Mytilus edulis: one gene and its partners. The protein of the gene in region 2 purifies or fractionates together with the protein of the main gene of each other region. This does not show direct contact. Links are inferred from orthologs where the notes say so. Each region holds a gene or a part of one and is shown on either strand. Other genes may lie near its edges. The genes, in order: proteasome subunit alpha type-5-like, akirin-2-like and importin-9-like.

Evidence for each region.
Region 1: the proteins of akirin-2-like (region 2) and proteasome subunit alpha type-5-like purify together in Homo sapiens (affinity purification with mass spectrometry; 3 studies listed by BioGRID and IntAct, with this or other methods). This does not show direct contact. The link is inferred for Mytilus edulis from reciprocal best matches to the Homo sapiens genes AKIRIN2 and PSMA5.
Region 3: the proteins of akirin-2-like (region 2) and importin-9-like purify together in Homo sapiens (affinity purification with mass spectrometry; 3 studies listed by BioGRID and IntAct, counting the BioPlex papers as one, with this or other methods). This does not show direct contact. The link is inferred for Mytilus edulis from reciprocal best matches to the Homo sapiens genes AKIRIN2 and IPO9.

Annotation. Positions count from the first base shown.
Region 1 is NC_092344.1:63,107,998-63,115,226, forward strand, and holds the start of proteasome subunit alpha type-5-like, read left to right. Parts: upstream 1-4,168; 5' UTR 4,169-4,283; intron 4,284-7,098; 5' UTR 7,099-7,110; coding exon 7,111-7,206; intron 7,207-7,229. UniProt on the Homo sapiens protein: Component of the 20S core proteasome complex involved in the proteolytic degradation of most intracellular proteins. This complex plays numerous essential roles within the cell by associating with different regulatory particles.
Region 2 is NC_092353.1:61,385,694-61,393,275, forward strand, and holds the start of akirin-2-like, read left to right. Parts: upstream 1-4,547; 5' UTR 4,548-4,804; coding exon 4,805-4,991; intron 4,992-7,290; coding exon 7,291-7,582. UniProt on the Homo sapiens protein: Molecular adapter that acts as a bridge between a variety of multiprotein complexes, and which is involved in embryonic development, immunity, myogenesis and brain development.
Region 3 is NC_092344.1:77,450,021-77,457,583, reverse strand, and holds the start of importin-9-like, read left to right. Parts: upstream 1-4,524; 5' UTR 4,525-4,551; coding exon 4,552-4,681; intron 4,682-7,563. UniProt on the Homo sapiens protein: Nuclear transport receptor that mediates nuclear import of proteins, such as histones, proteasome and actin. Serves as receptor for nuclear localization signals (NLS) in cargo substrates.

The DNA of each region.
Region 1 (7,229 bases), on a different chromosome or scaffold from region 2:
TTTTCCCTCCTAATTGAAGGACCGTTTACACTCAGGGCCGAGTCATCAGCAGGCAATACAGATGTATTAAAACAACCTAGCATCATATTGCTAGTAGTGGGAGTAGCATTGTCCGGTAAATTTGTTCCCACTTTTTTTTATAAAATGTATGGTTCAAATCAAAATAGAATGCTTTTATCTCCTGAATACTTACATTGTACATAGAGATGATACTACTTTGACAAATCCTTGTCCATTAGAGTTGTCTGTCAAATCTTAATTTCACAAAGAATGAATTGCATAACAATGAACTGAGCTCAAAGCAAGGTACTTTAATAATACACTTAGACAAAGAGCTAAATCCAGTGATATACTTTGTACTACAGGTCCTTCATGACCATCCATCCACCCAAACCATATCTCAATAACATTCCATACTACATGATTGGATTCAGAAGTCCTGAAAAAGACATGACTTTTTTTATCTTGTTTTAAGTATATATGCACAGGTTAAACCTTTATTGTGGATATAATCATTCAGTATCTAGCAACTATCAATTTGCTTCATGCACATATTGATATAGGTTGATTGCTCCTCTGTTGGAAATTAGAACACACCTCCATCTAATTTTAGTCAACTGACGAAGAAAAATTCAAAACTATATAAAATGTTATCTAAGACTTGTCAGTGTCTATTTCCTTTGCCACTGAATAAGATTCCATATTTACAACCAATGAAAATCAAATATCCCTCTAATAGACTTAGCATTGAAATCGTTTTCTAAAATGGTAGTTATGTGGAACCTAGAACTAAAAAATTGAAACAATATATCTTAAATATTTCAAATGCATGTACATTTAATAATTCTCCAAAATTCACTTTATTTTTCCTTTTTTGGTTTTCTGTTGGAGACTGTATATTGACCTCTATGTAGCCTTTTCAACTTATAAAAGGGGGGATACATTTCCATAGAATTAAACTTTTCTGAAAGAATTGATTCCATTTATTTTCAATTAACAATAAATATTGAAGTCTATAACAGGCATCTAGGAACAGGCTCAACATTATTTCTAAACATGTATTAATATATACCAAAATGTGGACAAACCTACATTAAATATTCTACTTCAACGACTTTAATTAGTGGAGTAGATCAAATTAAAAAGTCACAATGGTTAAAAACTCCAATGGCAGTCTTTCCTGCTAAAATCTTGATGTGTAGAATGTGATATACCATTTTTGGGTCTATATACTGTCCTTTAAATTTAGGTCATTTTGACACGGCAAAATATGAAAAAAATGTAAACTATGGTCTGGAAAGCACACAGTTTGTGATATTTTAAGGTATCTTTACTAAGAAAACCTGCAAATCTCAGTGGCAGATCCAGAACTTTTCAAAAAGGTGTGGGGGCTCTGATGGACCAGAGGGTTGCCCACTCCCATCAAGCTTCAATGATTTCTTACATATATGTCATAAGCTAAATTTCCCCCACCCCCTTGGTCTGTCTATGCATCTGTTTATCGTTCTGCGAAATAGTACTAATACTAATTTTTCCCCTCCCTTACCTGGCCCTAGACAGTTGCTTACCTTTGTAAACATTTTATAATTATAGTCAGGTATATATTGATTGAGAGTAACTTACATAGTAGTTAATGGGACTCTTTTTCACACGGTTCTGTGAAATATAATACGGCAAATATATACCCGTACATACTATCCGCATAACACAGAAATCTGATAGATTTTCACTCCTCTGGGAAAAATCAACCTGTGAAATGAAATAACATGCCTGGAAAAAAATTACCGGGACAAATTATCCTCAGGATAAAATATCACAGAGGACGAAATAAACCGTTACATTACATGAGAAGCCGGTTTGGTTACAAATAATTATGTCACGTGAAGGCGCACTGACGTCACAATTTGCATTAATTTTGCAATACACTACAGTTCACTCATACAGAACCCATTATCATGCAAACATGCTACGTGAATGTGATTGGTTATCAAATAATACAGAATTTATGCACGTACAGTTAATATAGAAGAAATTAGTTCATCAAATGTGAGTTCGTGATCTTGTGGTTAAGACCGATGGCTACAGTGCTGAAAGTCCTGAGTTAGATTCTCACTTGGGGTGCTAAAAATATCAGTACATCAGAAGGGTAATTTTCACCCTCTCACACACATCTTTGTTAATGTTCCGGGATTGTTGAAAACTTGCATATTCATCAATATTTGATTTTGTGGTTTTAACAATCCAGACAGACAAATAGCAATAAGGTGTTTAGGAAAACATGACCTAAAACCTCCTTCATATATGACAAAAATACATGGGAACTCATATTGAATGGTCAAATGTGTTCAATATGAAAATTGAAATTAAGATGGTAAAATCAAATATTAGCCGTTACTGTTAATGGACTTAAAGTATGACTTTTCAGCAAATTTAAAGGGAAATGACACGGAAGGGGCCAAGTAGTGTTCAAGGGGAGCAAATGCTATTTAAATTAGTATGCAGGTTTTAAATATAGAGGGAAGTTGAGTCATCTTTTTGGGTGAAGTTAAATACTGACTAGTGTGTGGTTCTCATTGGGTCTAAGCGTGACCAATATTGACAATTTTTCGCAAGCGTGAAACGTGAAAGTCAAATTATTGTGTCATGAAAACGGGAAATGAGGTCTGTCGTGAAAACGGGAAATGGGGTTCTGCAGGACCCCGGAAATGACAAAAAAATGAAAATTGCTCATGTACATAGTGTAAGTGGGATATGGGAATCTGACAAAACAGTAAGTGGGATCTGGGATCAGAACACCACCCCCCCCCCCCCCCCCCCCCCCCAATGAGACCCCCTTATGTAGATTTACCTTCTAATTCTATATAAAAAAAAACACAACTAAGAACTACGTTTAATTCACTTTGACTACTGATATGCAAACCTAGAAATATTTCATAAAATAGTGATTGAAAGATTCATAACACTTTGAAAGGATAATTCAGACACGTGTTACGCGGGGAGCATGTTTTAAATTTGTTTACAAATAATAATGTCACGTGATCGCGCACTGACCTCAAGTTGCATCGCCCTTACAATTCACTAATACATGACCATTTTCATGCAAACATGCAACGTGAATGTGATTGGTTATCATATAATACAGAAATAATGCATGCACAGTTTAAGAAGAAATTAGTTCAATAAATCGATGCGATTTTCACTTTTGACACGAATAGGTCGGGTTGACATTACCAGAGACATATAATACAATTGTATTATATGTCTCTGACATTACTGTCATCGGAGATAATATTGAGATAAATGGGATAAAACGGACCGTCAAAAAGGTCTAGAGGAGCACATCAGTAGAACCTTAACATTAATAAGTAATACTTACCAAAATTTCTCTAATTAAAGAACTATATAACTGAAATTTCACAAAGATAACGGTAAACATTTTGTTGATGGTGATGATGCTAATATCGATCCGTTGAATTCAGGGTCAACGGAATTTTTTGCGTTGCGTTTAAATCATTGAGGCCATCTATTTTTATTGCGGGTTCCACATATATAAATCGGAATTAAAGAAAAAATGGAATGTTGTTAGCAGAATCAAAACAGAAATGATGAACATTGCAACATTTTCAGCAAAATATAAATAGGATGGAGGATCTGTGTATTCACATTATTTGTAAAACTCTCCTTATTCATGTGAAGCGTGTGCTTTACATCGAGGCTTGCTATGCTTATCATTGACGCCACAGTACTTCAACCAATCAGACAATGTTTATTTTGGGCATTTGACTTTTTTTAACTCAGATTTTGGAATATTTTAATCGAAATAATAGAAAAATGGAATGTTGTTAGTACATATAAAATAGAAAATGATGAATACTTTTAGCTAAAGATAATTTGGATGGGGGTTCTGTGTATTCACATTATTTGCACAACTCTCCTTACTGATGCCATATTTTGGAATTTCCGTGACCTAAATGGTTCGCGAAAATTAATATTTTTATATATAGTATAGTAATGATCGTTATTGAGTTTGTGCCATGATAAAAAAAGATATATTTGCATTTGTATTTGTATATTAGCGTTTTAATGGATTAAATGTCCAAATCTGGCATTGAAATGACATCATTTTTATTTCTTTTTAAATTAAAATCGTCAGCAAAAACATTTCCGCCGCTTATTGACGAAAAACACGTGGCTGTTTTAATTTTTTAACAAATCCGGAGAAATTCAGGTTTGGTACGTCGTCCGATTTCGTTAGTTAGTCAATCCTTAGTTGCAAACTGCCGGTGAGTTCATTTTTCACAATTTTAAACACATCTTTTAACACTAAACAAAAGAGACTCAGAGAAGCAACACGAAACAATCTTTTTTCTTTATAAATGTTTATTGAAATTATACGTTGATGATATTTCGTACCTTTTCAATATATCAATAAATAAATGAAAACTTTCAAGTTTTGCAAAACTGCAATATCATGATCCATCATCTTACTCAAAATATAGTATTTACAAGATTATAGCCACCCACCTAGTACCTTGCTAAGTCAGATTTATATATAAGGAAGCAGTTACCATCCCTCCTGTTTGGGGCTTCATATATATATGGTTTAAACATAGATTTTTTTAAGTCGCACTGACACTCCATCAAAAACAAAGGCATCATCAGATTCAGTATCGGGTCTGTTCGCCCTAATAACATGTTCGCCCTGGGTCCGTTTGCCCTAAGTTCTTTCGCCCGTAGAGTCCGTTCGCCCAAGGTGGTTATATTAGAAGGAGAGAGGACGAAAGACGATAATTACACATAAAATATTACCGACTTTTCTGTATGTGGGTGTTCACAAACTGTATAGTTTATATGGCAATAAAACTTTGAATTGAATTGAATTGTTAATTAGTTGAGATCGACTCTGTCACAGAGGGAGATTTTGTCCTAATTACATACCCGAGTAAGAACGGAAACACCCGAGGTGTCATAAACTGACTGGATATACAATTATTGAAATGTTAATCAGATTTTTTTAGATATTTTTTATTAAGTAATTAAAAATTAAAATTTTATGTTAAAAGTAAACTTATTACCAATAGAAATAAAACGAATATCTGTCTCATTGCCGTCAATGTTAATATCAACAGTCATAACAGAAAGTCACTTTTACGTTGTTCCCGATAAATTTCTCTATGTTTCAATTGCAAATATTCTTTCCAGTCGTTACCCATCACCGTAACTAAAGTACATTGCATATTCGTATATTTTCTATGATTATTACCTGCCAATTCTAATAAACAGAAATTGACAGGTGAAGCGAAAATCTTTGTTTAAAGCAATGTAGTGTTGAATATAAATCGCTCACTAACTTTCCTTTAAACCCTCATAACTTTGTCATTTCTTTATCTTTTTTCACCATAGACAGACGGTTGATTTTGAAATTGCGCGTCAAATCTTTTTCCAAATCATGAACACCTATGCACTGCACTGTTACTAAAAATACACCTGAACTTTAATGACCCAGTCACTGATAACAATCATGTGACATATGCGATTTATCTAATAGCCCGAACTGCTCGCGGTAACAGCCTGGTACATCAGAGGGTCATGTCAAGTGGGTGATAAACATGTCGGTTTCTTTATAATTTGATAAACAAATATCAATAAAGATAAATACATTGTATTCCAGTATTCTCTGAAAATCAAAGGGAAAATGATAAATTGATTGCGGCAATATAAATATTCTGTCAATTTTTCAACAAACTTTAAAACATTTTGTTCAAATACTTAAAATTATGCGACTAGACAACAATAAGAAAAAAATAAAAATCAGGGCAAATGAACCCAAGGCGAACAGGTACTAGGGCGAACCTGAATCAGGGCGAACGGACCCAGATTCATCAGATTCACAATAGACAGAAATGCTGCAAAGCCCTTTTTCAAGATCCTGAGAAGTGTATTGCTTATTTAATCTACAACACCATGAACAGTACTATGATAATAAAAATAAAAGAAAGTCGTTGTCATTAATCATGTTAATTGGTTCATTGAAAAAATTATTGACTCACTGAAATCTCTGTAATGTACATGAAATTGATGAATCCTCATCTTATAGTGCCAAAAAAACATCCTAGAGTAGAAATAATACAACTACATCAACCATCGTCATGTTTAATACACAATTGCCTGCATTGTTTTTACACATTCTTATTACAATTTACAATGCAGATTTGCATATTTAACCATAAAAGGAAACATGTGTTACCTGTATGCACTTTCCTTTTCAAATAAAACAATATCTATGCAGAAGTCAAGTTACTCCATTGTAACCATAACACTGATATCAATAGTATTATCAGAATATGAAAGACTCATTAGCTACTAAATTCAGAAGTGAAACTATTATTATATTGTAAAGGAGTAAGTTCGGTAAGTGCCATATTTGGCCCCAATTATAAAGTTCATGGTTACAAGACAATAATTGTTTTAAGTTGCCTTAAAGACATGTAACAAAAGTTAAACAGAGCTGTTTTTGTCAAAGTTTAATTCTAATACAACGATTTTTACATTCCAAAATGGTCAAGATAAGGGATTTTGGTGAAATTTGACAAAATCAGCGGGATTTCAACCAAATAAAGGACCAGGAAACATAGAGCGCAGGCGTCGACAAGCTTAATATTCAAATAAGACATGTTAAATGTCTTCACAAACATTATGTTAAAAGATCTTTGTTGTCGACGTATGCGCTCTATGTTTCCTGTCAAATAATCTTTGGAAATTTACCCATTTTCATTGATTTTTTCGTGAAAAATCAATATGAGTACAACTTGTGACGTCATAATGAAACGCAGAAATGTTAAATTTTAAACAAAATGGCTTATATCCTATCTAGTCAATGTATTAGCTATAATTTATCGTGATATTGGTCAATAAATCCGAATTTGAAATTTACGCTAAAAAAGTGGGCCATTTTAGGACCTTATCGAACATACTCCTTTGTTACAATGATTTACTAAATCTGAATTTTCAAAATACATCCAACACAAGTTACTTACATTACTGACTGAAATTGGAAGTTTTTATTTGTATAAAATAATTCATTGTTTGTAATTTCAGAGATAACAAAAGATGTTTTTGACAAGATCTGAGTATGACAGAGGTGTGAACACATTTTCACCAGAAGGCAGATTATTCCAAGTAGAATATGCCATTGAAGCAATTAAAGTAAGTTTATTTTTGTAAAAATA
Region 2 (7,582 bases):
AGGTCTCATTATTTTGCCCCACTAAACGAGAATCTCAGCTTTGAAATAAGATTTCAGAAACACCGCCCGTGAAATGTAATATTATTCGAAAGCTTCTTCTACTCCGCTTTGAAAAAAGAAAGTTTGTTTTTCCTCTGTCTCTCTTTGCCAGAATTATTGGAAATTAAAAAAAATGAAATGAAATATGACACTGACTACCTTCTAAACTATTAGTTTTATTAGTATTCGTTTTGCTACTTGCTGAAGGCCCTACGATAAAATTCTACGTCATTTTGTCACTGGTGGATAGTTGTCTCATTTGCAATTATACCACATCTTCGTATTATTATTTTAGACATTAGAGTATTAACGGACGGACAGAAGCACGGCCGGACTAGTGTTTACCTGATGATACAACATGCCGCCAACTCAGTCGGGCACTTAAAAACATTTCCATCTAATTTGTAGATTCGTAATTTCTAATTTAATATTAAAAATCTAAAAAAGTTGAAATGATAGGTAGACAGGTAATTAATTAAACTATTAAAATGTTACAATACAATACAATAATAATTTATTAACGTCTCACCATCAATAATACAGTATACACATTTCACATTATAAAAGTAAACCTTTTTTAAAATTATTAATGCCATTCTAAAAGAATTATGAGAGACGGATTAAAAGGAACTAGTATTTACAAATTTTCAAAAAGCAATTATAAAACAAAAATAAAGTTAAATCATAAAACATATTTACATCAATTATCGGTATAAAAAACGTCGTCTACGGTCTAAAATAAGCTTGCAGGTTTTGGCACATTTTTGTATCACATTAATATTATCACTCGCTAAAATAAATGAAAGTTTCAAAGAATTCGGCAATAGACTAAAATTTTCGTTTTCAAAGTTTAAAAACTTATACAGTTCGTCTCTAAGATCGTCGTATAAAACGGACATTCAGTCAATACATGCTCCTCGTTTTCAATTTTATCGTCACAAACAAAACAAGTTCTTTGATCTATTAATTGGATGACTCTCGTAGCGTCCTGTCTCTAAACGTATTGGGGCAACACCACAGCGAAACTGAGAGTATGCTCTTCTGTGCGATGGTATTACAAGTTTATCTAGGTAAAGTTCTGTATATACATCCTGTTTAAATGTTCTATATGTACGTAGGTTGTTACCTCCTGGTCCATTTCGTCTGGTAGTGTCTTTATGCAAATCTTCATTCCATTTCTGTTTAAAGTCGGACATAAGTTTTACATGTAGAGCATTGTTAACTTGCTGCTTATCAATATCAGTGTCATTAAACAAGTTCGCTATACCACATGATTCGAATAGACTATAAATTCTAAAGTTTGAGTTTTTGCACACTCGATGACGTCTGAAATTCTGCTCTGCCCAATTGTCTATTTTCTTATTTATTCTATTCTCAGCCATATATCGTAACCGATTCCAATAGTTTATGATTACCCGCCACTGTTTCACAAACGGTGGTGTCCATCCCGAATCTCCATTTACTGCAACGTTTGGGGTATAACGACCAACTCCCATGAAAAAAACGGATTGCTTTGTTTTGAACTGCATTTATACACGAGAATGACTTATCTCCCCATACTGCCGCACCGTAACTAATAGTCCTCCAAACCATAGAGTCGTACAGCTTTGTAAAAGTTCCAAAAGGTAAACCTCCAAGTCCCTTGTATTTCGATATTACAAGTCCAAGTGCTCGACTAGCTGTTGCTGCAACGTATTTTGCCATGACGTTATAGTCCAAGTGTTCTGTAAAAACTAAGCCTAAATATGTGTAACGTTCTACTGTCTGTAAAATGTGGTTTCCGCAGTGAAAGATTGTTGGACTTCTCGGGAACGAATTTGGCCGAAAGTAGACTATATTTGACTTATTGTCGTTTATTGTCATCTTGTTATCGGTACACCATAAATCCAATGCATCGAGTAATGTTTGTAGCTCTGTTTCTGTGTTTGATAAAAACACTAAATCATCGGCATAAAGTAACATGGACACCTTTTCCCCATCGATGTCAATGCCAATATCTAGTGAATCAATATACGTAGCTAATCCGTTTATATACAAGTTGAAAAGTAATGGCGACAATAAACAGCCTTGTTTAAGACCACATTGAACGTTAAACCAATCTGTCTGATGTCCATTAATGCGAACACAGCATTCCACGGACTAATACAGAGACAAAATAGCGTTATAAATATTCCCACATATACCAAGGTCGAATAGTTTCTGGAATAACATCGCTCGATTTATCCCGTCATATGCCTTACGAAAATCAATAAAAGCCACGAAAGTCGATAAACGTTTCAATTTCCTAGTCTCGATTATTGATGTTAACGATTTAATGTGATCAATTGTACTGCGCCCTTTCCGGAATCCGTTTTGACTGTCATGAAGAATGTCATTTTCGTTCTCCCATTTTACTAGCCTGTTATTAAGTATATGACAGTATAGTTTATAGCACACTGGTACCAACGTTATACCTCGGTAGCTCATTGGGTCTTTCGGATTTGATGTTGACGATTTCGGAATTGGGTTTATAATTCCCTTTGTCCACGTTGTAGGGATAACTCCACTCGAAAAACACTTGTTAAAAAGTTTGTGTAAAAAGTTCAGTAAACTTGGGACTTTAAGGATTTCTGCCGGTATTTCGTCCACGCCAACGGCTTTGTTACGCTTTAGGCTACGCACAGCGTTCACTACTTCAAAACTTGTGATTTCATTATTCATTTCAATCTCGGTATCAAGTCTTTGGTCCATTACGTATTCTGAATTGACAGTTTCTGGGTTTAGTAAACTACAATACGCACGTTTCCATTCCGAAACCACTGCTTCACGACCATGGGCTATGGTTCCGTCCGGCAATTGAACCGACATAGGTATAAGTTTTCTTCGTTCTGTACCAACACCAATACGTCCGATTTTTTTTCTCCAAAATTCGCTATGATAAGTCGTTTCCATGTCGTCTATTTCAACCATTTGTTACATGAACAAAAAATGTATCTTGCCTTTTCTAAAATACGATTTCTGTTATTACTCTTTCGTGGATCTTGAATACAGAAACTACAAAGTACAAATAAGCCGGAAAAGACGTCTAGGTTAGAATAACAATTTTCGTTTGAACTGAAAGGAATAATTTTCCGTTGGAAACTATAAAGTATTTCTCAAAACAGAATTAATTTAAGTATAAGATACAGAACAAAGGTAACTAAAACAGCCTGGTAAAAACCGTTGCCATATAGTTTTTTTTTTTGCACGAATAGTCACGTCAAGTCCGAGACGATAATCGAGGACCTTGACGACTTCAAGTTCAGAAAAACTATATGGCTGGTTATTACTATCCTGTCACGGGCTTTTTGATTGTTACTTTTGTTTTGTATCTGACTTGTACGAAGTTTTTTTTTTAATTAGAAAGTAATTATACATTTTACATTTAAAATACAATTGCATAAATAATTGAACACAAAAAAAATGTGCATACTGGTTTATGTATTGTGATGTTTGGAAAAAATTAGGGATTTTGCTCTTCTCAGTTCTACTAGCTGATGCATCACTATGACATTCAATTAAAATGTGGTCACAATATTTGACATATGGAACGATTGTATATAAAACTTAAAATCCTTCTACCTGTTTCATCTGACCTAGATCTCATTTACGCTGTTTTATTAGTCAATATTCAGTTTTCATTGATTTCTCCATTTATTTCCTCCTCCTATCCATTTTTTGGGAAACAATTTCATTAAGATCAGTACGACTTTTAATACTTCGTTTGGAATTTTTTTTTTCGATTCATTCAGTGATAAAGACATTCCATTTTGAGGAGGAAATAAAACACAATAGGTTTTCGACAACAACAAAATAAAACAAACTAAACCCACATGATATCATATTAGTGAGACAAAGACATGTGGTGTTGTTGTTATTTTTAAATATTTTTTTGTAGTCAAACTGCTCTTTGATGATTTTTTTTTTTTTTTGCGGAACCCAATGTTATTAAACCAACTTAATGTTTTTACAACCCGATCCGATTTAAAATCTTATGGTAATTCAAGTATTCCTCCTGTTCCTGTATTGATTTGTTATATTTTTGAATATTGGAAAAACAAGGAATAATTCTATTAAAGAAAGGGACATTATTGCGATGGCTTCAGACGCGTCATATTATTAAAAAACGAATGATAATAAATACAATGAAACGTAATACCGAGAACAAATTCTCATTTCTATTTCTACCATCTATGCCAACTAATATGCAGTCGGTGAAAAGTTCAGCAACGCAAATATAATGTGCGTGTGTGTTTACAGGCACGATGACATGAAGAAAAGTTACCTACATTATTTGTAATTAACAACAATACCAAACTGCTATTTGGCATACCTTTATTATGAGATTTTCACGGTGATTAATATTTTTTTCACGAAAATAAATAATTTTTGCAATTTTGCAGGAAGGAAGAAGAATTTCAGCCCGTAACGAGAAACGATTTCTTATATCGGTATTATAGGACAAGTTCGGGGCATGTTCAAATAATTTTATGATTTTGTTGAAAACGAGGCTTGATTGTTTTGATTCTGGAAACGGCCATATTTACTAGATGGTAGTGAATCCGGTAAAAAAAATCAACAATCATCGGCTTCAAATTCAAGCCAAACAGCAATATTATCCTCTTATATTATCTTTAAACATTTATTTTTCGTCTGGGAATCGTTTTTGACCTTCTGTTTATAGAAGGTCAGTTGCATATACAATTTTTATTGGGCACCTATCGAAACTAAATTACAGTCATAAAAAATGGCTTGCGGAGCAACATTAACTTTGAAAAGGAATCTTGAATTCGATCCTATACACAGTCCTGGACAAACAACACCAAAGAGACGTAGATGTATGCCAATGACTATGTCGCCGTCCACCCCACCAACGAAGCAACATCAAGTAAATCCATCGCCGTTTGGAGAAGTTGGTCAGAAATTGACATCGGGTAAGATATTATCAAAGGCTGTAAAGTGTAATCAAAGGAGTCGCATTGAATTTTAATCGAAATTAAAAATGCCGAGAAGTAAACAATAAGAATTTTTCATGTATTATTATGGCATTTCTATATCCCTTGGGGCATTGATACCATGTAAACAGTCCAATCCAACATCACCTCGGCTTCACTTCAGACATACCACCAGAAATTATTCCTGACACTTCCTCTTCGGCACCAAGTCAAAAGGACACCTCTGATTGGAAAACAACCACTTTGTTTATTTTCCAGTTGAGCTCTTCAAATAATTATTGCTCATCTCATCAATTCAATAGAATGGCCTTCCATCAAGTTTCTTGACCTACTTGATGTTACATAATATTGCTAGGGGTTATGAACTAGGGCCTGTAATTAATAACATTCAGAATATAAATTTTATAAAATTTATAATATTTACAGATGTTTTGTCTGAAATTTGGAAGTTTAAACAACCACCATCTAAATGCATGTACATGTAGTAAATAAATGCAAGCTGTTTGCAAAAAAACTTATGACTACTTAGAATATTCATTTCATATCTTCAATCAAATATATGGAGGTCTGGATGAGGATTACAGAATAATGGGTAAAAATTAAGGAGTCTGAAATAATGGGGTGTACATACCTGCCAACTCACTATTTGCGGGGGATTTCCCCCATGGAGGCTCCCAAATTGAAATTTTGAAAGAGCAGTTTTGTCCACAATTTAAATAAAACAACTAATTTTACAATGACTTTAGGCTTATAAAGGTATGAAGAAGCCAAAAAACAACATTAAAATGTATTTGCAGGCCCCCTTGAAGGTTTTTTAGGACTATGACAGCCATCTTGCACGCAAAACCCCCATGGGCATTTTGAAAAGTTGGCAGGTATGGGTGTAGAGAATTTCAAGAAAAGAGAACAAAGGAATAAATAGAATAGAGAACATCTTGAAAATAATAAAAAAAAATTCAGAATTAATGGACCCCTTCCAGTCCCAAAATGACATGAGGAGCAAAATTGTCTAGGTCCTGAAATGTCCCAACAGGATTTTTCTTTGGAAGTGTTCAGGGTGCCATTAATACCTCTTTGTGCTGAAGTGTCTCTTTGCCACTAAATTAACTAATTCCATACTAGTCAAGGCTTGACAAATAAATTAGGGGCTTCAAAAATTAATTCTTTACATTGCTTAAGGTTCATCATACATGTCATAAGAAATTGAAAAATATGGCCATGTTTACACCTCCAAATTTACTACGAGTGCAGACAAATTGGTACATCTAGGAAAGTTTTAAGGCATGGCAGAACCTACATGTAGATACATAACAGTTATATGTTGTAAAGGTTTCAGAAAATTTTAAAACTTTAAATGTTTAAATGGATTTTTATGTTCAGTTTTTTCCAGTCTGCAGAAGATAGCAAATAAACAAACACCCAAGTTTCATTTGAAACGGTCCACTCAGTTACACAGTTTTAATCACCTATTGTCTGCAGATATCTTTTGTCCATTTAAATCTGTACTACATTTACTTACAACATGTATTATATGAGGGGAGATTCTCAAACATTTTCGAACTTATTTTATTTTGGCACCTTCTGCAGGAAAGAAAAAAAATTAATGAATAGCAAATCTAGTAAAGTTTTTCTAAAACCCAAAATGCATTTAAAATTTATATATCTAGTTCCTTCCATCCCTTAAAACTTTTGCAGGTGTATAGGTTTGTCTGTATTCAGAATAAAATTTGTGGTGTAAATACGGCCACCATTAGCCAAAAGGTTATGATGAACCTTAAGTACATTGTAAGCCAAAACATTGAACATATGTAATAAAACAATTCTTAAAAATCAGCTGAAAAGTTATCTAACCAGATAAAATTATTAAAAGAATATTGAAGCAGTCTGCACCATTAGCCACTAGTCCGATGCCCCAGACTAGTAAAAATTGATTCAGACTAGTGAAAATTTTCAAAATTTTATATAGGCATATAAGGACAAGTTTTGATATTTAGTGTCCGGACTAGTAGATGAAAAAGTTTTTGGTGCAGACTGTTGAAGGTATGATTGCTAGCAAAATTGACAAATATCTTCCATCCATGCATTTTAATGCCCCCACTGTAACAGAGGGGGCATTAAGGTTACCATTGTCCACCTCTACATATGTTGTACCTTTTTTTTTTTCCTGTCTTTAACTTGAGTTTTCCTCAGTCATATGAAATTACATGTAGTACACACTCACCCTGAAAAATTCATAGTAAGAACCCTGTTTCATATATATACTGAATGCCTTTTTCAGAACAAATTGCTGCCAGTATTGGAAATGAAATTAAACGTATGCACAGAAGAAAACAACTACAGTATTCTGGTATTCAGACACCACCAAACATGTCCCCACCACATGAATCTTCATCAAGCCTGTCCATTGATGGATCAGCATCACCATCATCTTCCGCTGGCAACATGTTCAGTGCATTATCTCCAAACAAAAGAGAAATGCCATTGTTTACCTTCAAGCAAGTCAGTATGATATGTGAGCGCATGCTGAAAGACAGAGAAGAACAGATTAAAAATGAATACAACTCAGTACT
Region 3 (7,563 bases), on a different chromosome or scaffold from region 2:
TATTGGGTCTAAATAAGCATTCAGTAGCTCCAAGTGTTCTCTTTTCTGCCCTTCGGTCTTTGGTGTTTTTGGTAGTTTATTTTGTGCTCTGTATCAATCTCATGAGTAAAGACCTTTTCAACTATTTTTTTTTATAATTTGTTCTAATGCTATACCATGCATACTGTTCCGCCACTGTTTAAGGTTAGGTAAAGAGTTTGGCCCCAGCAAATTTATTTAACAGCATCCGATTCAGTATGTTTCAAGCAAGGAGGCTGTGATGAAGTGATTGTCGTTTGTTGATGTGTATTATACGTATACTAGTGTGTTGTTGATTGTTTTGTACATAGATGAGGCCGTTACTTTTCTCTTTTGGACTGTTTTACATTTTGTCATTTCAGGGCTTTAATAACTCACTATATGGTATGAGCTGTGCTCATTGTTGAAGGTCGTACGATGATCTATTGTACTATTACGTAATTTATTCTCCGGTTAAGAGCTGTCCTATAATTATCATACCATATGATCTTCTTATAACTATCATACCACATCTTCTTATTCTTAAAGATATGTGTCGTCAACAAGTAAGTGACAACCACAAAGAAACGGTAATTTCTCTCCTCTCAACTTACGACGTCTATCAAACTCTAAGCTATGCGTATTTTTTTGCCCATAGGAAGCCAGATTATTTATATCTTTTCCCCTAATACAATGAGTATTTAATCAATGTTTGTGTTGATGTCCACATAAAATATTTTCATTATTTCAAAAGTTGAGCAAAAAAAAATAAAAAAAAATAAACGTCACACACTAATGTTTAATTTTTCGGCAATATTTATCCATTTATACAATTTTTTAGCGATAGATATCCTTTCATCTGATTTACTACCTGGTCTACCTTACTCTTACATTGCCATATAACATACTTGACACAATAGCATTTTACAAATTTGTTCCGTCCGAAACGCTTTTTTTGGTCTACTTTGATTAGGAACGTTCTTACAAAAGACCAGGTAAAGGCCAATGATTATAAGTACTGTACTTGAGATGACCTTACGGAAAAACAAGTAAACAGTTATAGAACTAAAAGAAGTCAAAACGGAAATAAACTTAAGAAGAACACATGTGAATATGAAATGATGTTTCGTTAAATTTTCCGCACAAGAAAACATTGTGTTAAATACCAATAAAAATAATTGATTTTAAGAAATATAATGTATTATTGTGAGAACGCAAAGACTAGTTACGTTCCTGTCGCTAGCTGTGTGAATAAAATACTCGGTTTTGGTTTTATCCGAAATGATTCTCAGCGGTGACAATCTTCCCGTAACTGTCGGGTTATACATCTCACTTTATCCTTTAAATATAGAGCTGGTTATAAATTTGAAATTGAAATATATTTCAATGTGTTGTGATACACAGAAAATACGCATTTATTTTTTTATTCGAAAATGATAAAACAAAAATACGAAAACAATTCTCCGCCAAACATGGGTTACACTAATGACTGGACCGAATGACAGGACCGAATGACAGGACCAAATGAAAAATGCTAATAACTTTTTCATTTCTCAAAGGATTGAACTCAAATTTAAAATATAATAAGATTTCATCATTTAATAAATAGATTAAGAAAAAAATAAATTTAAAAATTGTAAGAAACTTAAGAAAACGTGACATGACCAACTCTGATAATGACAGGACCAACATCGAGAATGACAGGACCAAATAAAAATGCTAATAACTTTTTTATTTTTCAAAGGAATTATCTCAGATTTAAAATATAAAATGGTATGTCATATTTTGAAACTAAAATGTTATAAAAAATATAAATTTATTTTCAAAAACTTTCGAAAACGTGACATGACCATCGCTGACTGACATGACCAATATCGACAATGACCGGACCAGATGAAATTGCTAATTTCTCTTTTATTTCTCAAAATATTTTTCTGAAATTTGAAATATAATAAGATTTCATCATTTTATACATAGATTTAAGAAAAAAAAATTAAAAAAATTGTAAGAAACTTTAGAAAACGTGACATGACCAACTCTGATAATGACATGACCAACATCGACAATGACAGGACAAAATAAAAATGCTAATAACTTTTTTATTTTTCAAAAGAATTATCTCAGATTTGAAACATAAAATGATATGTCATATTTTAAAAAATAAATGTTATAAAAAATATAGAAAGTTTAAACGTGACATGACCATCGCAGACTGACAGGACCAACCTCGACAAAGACAGGACCAGATGAAATTGCTAACTACTTTTTACTTCTAAAAAATTTTTTTCTGAAATTTGAGATATAATCAGATTTAACCATTTTATACATAAAGATAGGAATAACATAGAAAAAAATATTAAAAGATTGCTGTAATGTGACCTGACCAACGCTGACAATGACAGGACAAACCTTTTTTAATTTTGAAAAGAAAATTATGTCAGATTTAAAATATATCAATTAAAGAGATTTTTTTTTATGTTCCTACTATAGAAATTCTGGTTGAAATTAATAATAATAATTAAAAAACACACATTAAGATTGAATGATTTAAAAGTTTTTAGAAAATAAGGGAAAAATTAAAAGCTAACTGAGGGAAAACGTTAGGTCTGCGAACGCCCACCGCGTTATTTGATTTTTTTATTGGAATATTGTATTAAACCGAGTTGTAGAAATATTGCACTTCTCATTCATTCATTCATTCAAAATATTTTGTATATTAATTACCGGTCATAATCTGACACGTCTGAAAATAATTATAAGGTAACAAACAAAAGGTGTGACATAAGCCATAAATAAGTTGATAAATCCAATAAAGATTGCGATGACAGTAACTAAAATCACATAATAGTTCATGTCGTTGTTTTATTAATATTTTCAGAACAGTAAATAATTATTTCCATGTATGTTTGAGTATATGAAGGGTCTATCTTGATAGTAATAATAAACAAATAAACATTTCTTGAAGTGTGCCCGGCCCTTGCATGCATGATTTCTTGGTAGTTTTAAATATTTTCATAAAATACACTAAATCTAACATTTTCACGGACTACTTTAAAAGGTTTGATACCTTTCCACGTGGCTTAAATTGGGCTTCATTATGTCAAGAAATATTATGATGATAATTCAATAAATCTGAATTTATCTATAGTTTAATGAACTGATATATTATATAAAATGATTATATGTAATAACATATAAACATTTCAAGATCTCTTTCTTAAATATAGTGATAATTCGTGTCTTTTTGACCTGTGACTCTCTGCCAACATACGTTAAGTAGCTAGGTCAAGATTTTTAACCACCATAGAATATATTTTCCTGTATTTATAAGATATAATCTTACTAATTATGGATCAGAACTGAACAATTTCATTAAAATAAGAAAGAAATTTAGATTTTTTCATTGGCCAGATCATTAGTAGCCGATGTTGGTCAGGTCACACCACCGCAAGCTTTCAATACATTTTTTTTATATATATTTTTCTAATATGATGTGCAAAATGGTCTAAATTGTCATTATTTTAAATTTGAGAGGAATATTCTGACAAATGTTATGCATAATTAGCATTTTTATTTGGTCCTGTCATTAATTGTCGAGGATTGTCCTGTTATTGACAACGTTAACCAGGTCACATTTCAGCAAGCTTTTTATACCTTTTTCTTATATTATGTATGAAATGGTAATTTAAAATTTAAGAGAAATATTCTGCGAAAAAAAAGAACAATTAGCAATTTCATTTGGTCCGGTCATTGTGGAGGTTGGTCATGTCAGTCAGCGATGGTCATGTCACGTTTTTGAAAGTTTTTGAAAATATTTTTTTTTTATATAACATAAATGTTTCAAAATGTGACATATCATTTTATGTTTCAAATCTGAGATAATTCTTTTGAAAAATAAAAAAAGTTATTAGCATTTTTATTTTGTCCTGTCATTGTCGATGTTGGTCATGTCATTATCAGAGTTGGTCATGTCACGTTTTCTAAAGTTTCTTACAATTTTTTTTAATTTTTTTTCTTAAATCTATGTATAAAATGATGAAATCTTATTATATTTCAAATTTCAGAAAAATATTTTGAGAAATAAAAGAGAAATTAGCAATTTCATCTGGTCTGTTCATTGTCGATATTGGTCATGTCAGTCAGCGATGGTCATGTCACGTTTTCGAAAGTTTTTGAAAATAAATTTATATTTTTTATAACATTTTAGTTTCAAAATATGACATACCATTTTATATTTTAAATCTGAGATAATTCCTTTGAAAAATAAAAAAGTTATTAGCATTTTTATTTGGTCCTGTCATTCTCGATGTTGGTCCTGTCATTATCAGAGTTGGTCATGTCACGTTTTCTTAAGTTTCTTACAATTTTTTAAATTTTTTTTCTTAAATCTATTTATTAAATGATGAAATCTTGTTATATTTCAAATTTGAGTTCAATCCTTTGAGAAATGAAAAAGTTATTAGCATTTTTCATTTGGTCCTGTCATTCGGTCCTGTCATTCGGTCCAGTCATTAGTGTAACCCGCCAAACATAACTTTACTTAAATTTAGCAAAATGGCGGGAGCAGACCGAAATCTGTCATTGAAAGAAGCATTAGTTGAAAGTTTGGGTTCTGTGTTGTCTCCCGACCATGATCTTAGAGTTTCTGGGGAAGAACAAGTTAAAGCCCTTGAAGTTACCGAAGGTTCATTCAATTTTTCAATAAAATTAGTTTAGGGTAGAATAAAACGCTGATACTAAAGGCAACAGGTTTGATATCACATTGATGTGTTGTATGATTAGGTTTCATTCTGAGGAGCGTAACTATGATCTACTTTGGGTTATGGTGTAAAGGAGCCAATAATGTGTACAAATGCAGTGCATTATATAAGCATACAAACACTCTTGAAAACTGTCTAAATATGAAATAAAGGGTGGCAGGTAGGTGAAACTTACAGCTTTCGGGTCGATCCGGCCCATATGTAAAGTCGATCCGGACCCAATAAAAATATATTTATAAGTAATAAAAATAAGGATATATGTTAATTGTAATTCATAAATGTTTATGGTTTTTATTATAATGTAAAAAGTGTACGGTAAAAAAAAAATATTCAGATGAGTATAAAACAACTATATTTTTATTACAAGTTTTCAAGATAATTGAGTACCGAAGAACAAGCTTTAAAGGGCTCCAAAATTACTAGTGTAAAACCATTCAAACGGGAAAACCAACGGTTTAATTGACTATATTTGATATCACAAAATACAATTCATTATTATTATATTCACTAACCAGAAGATCAGACTATAACGACCTTGTTGCTTACGTAACTTTAATTAATCAAGATTTTTAAGTGATTACGAGTGGCATTACCTTAGTTCACAATCATCAGACAATTATTGAATAAACAAAACAATTATAGACTAATACAGTCTTCACGATGATCTGTTAAATCTACAGGCCCAGATCTCAATCTTTTGAAAAATTTTAGTTAGATTCGGTTGGCCTGTAGATATGATTTTCACAGGCCCCAGAGCAATTTTACTAGCCTGGGCTGTCTGGGCTGCCACTCGGCGTGAAGACTGCTAATAATTAAACAAATCATTATGATGAGTTAAATTTTATAGGTTCCAGTGGACTGTAAATATTTATTAAGCTATTCTGTGTGTGAACTAAATAAAATAAAATCGCCATAACATTCAAAGTTAAAGTTATCGTGGAAAATAACTTCATATTTTAAAATATGTTGAAGCTGCCATACAAACAGACCAATAACACTCATTTGTGTATCGATTTAAAATAGTTCTTTAACTGGTACTTCCAATACTTCACTTACCTGTTGTCATCCATCATCGGACACTTTTTTGCAAATTCCATTTATACTGTTAAAATCTGTCACAAATTCCTCCAAAATTAATATAGTTTATTTCATATTTTATTATGGGGCCGGATTGACTTGTGGCCGGATCGACTTGGGCCGGATCGACTTTGGACCGGATCGGTTTGGGGCCGGAATGACTGGATACCAAACTTACATAAATGAAGAGATAAATGAAAAATGAACAAAATAACATGATTTATATAATTCCAAGTCCGTCCATTGGCACCAGAAGCGACGAAACAGCACTTCTATTTTGGATGGGCAAATATCCACTTTTTGATATGGGACGAGCTCTGACGTCCAACGGCCCCAGCATGTCTAGCAAAACAGCCATTGGACGTCAGAGTAATCATGGACTAACTGCTAGGGACAACCAATTGATAAGAATTCAAATTTTTATACAAGCTGCTTTTTATAATTAAGTCAAAATGGTCGATATCCGATGTAGATTATCCTAGATTTTCCTGTAGCATTTTTGGTCTAGTCTTATGATTTGTAAGTCCTTCTCAGACCTTTATAAATCAAATTTTTACTCCCTAATGTATGCTTCAACTTCATAAATTATACATATTTAAGTTGAAATAAATGGCAAAGGTTACATGTGAAGACCAGACAGGACTACATGTACATTAGCTGCGGAACCGTAGCTCTTAGGTCCTTATGTTATTTTTTGACTATTTGCGGACCATAGAGCTACGGATTTTTCCTATTTCAAAACGTTCGGAATTGCGACCCAGGTTCAGGTCGCACTTATTTCCCAAAAAATTATTGTTTATAATCAATGCAAAGCTTGTCAATATATATAGTTCGTTTCGTCAAATATTTTTCTAGGATATGACGTAACTATTTATGTTTGAATATTCATTTCCTTAACACTATTATCTAATTATTTCCATTTGTATACATTCTCCGCCTATTTTGTTCGGCCATATTGAATCTCGTGGTGACGTCACGAAAATCAAGAAAAGATAACTCTAATAGGAAAGCACGTGTTAGTTTATTTACGTTGTCTTTTATTTTATTTTCATGACCTTTTGAATGAAAGTACGTTTAATTAAAGTTAGATACTAACGGAAATAATAATTCTTTCAAGCAATTTAAATATTTAGTATGTATAAATGTTGTAAAGTCTTATAAACACTCGATTCTCGCCAAGAAATAAGTAAACAAACCAACACGTGTTTTTCTGTAAGAGTTGTCTGTTCTTGTTTTTCGTAGGCGTTCCTCACCTCCAACATAGGAGATCGAGGATATTTGAGTTATCTTTTCTTGATTTTCGTGACGTCACCACGAGATTCAATATGGCCGAACAAAATAGGCGGAGAATGTATACAAATGGAAATAATTAGATAATTGTGTTAAGGAAATGAATATTCAAACATAAATAGGTACGTCATATCCTAGAAAAATATTTGACAAAACGAACTATATATATTGACAAGCTTTGCATTGATTATAAACAATAATTTTTTGGGAAATAAGTGTGACCTGAACCTGGGTCGCAATTCCGAACGTTTTGAAATAGGAAAAATCCGTAGCTCTATGGTCCGCAAAATCAAAAAAAAATAAAAAAGGACCATAAGAGTTACGGTTCCGCAGCTACATGTACATCAGACCATCAACCTATTGTACTAATGCACTTTAAGAATTTTGGGGTGTCTGAATAAATTATTTAAACAATTTAGTTTATATTTTCGTCCCAAAA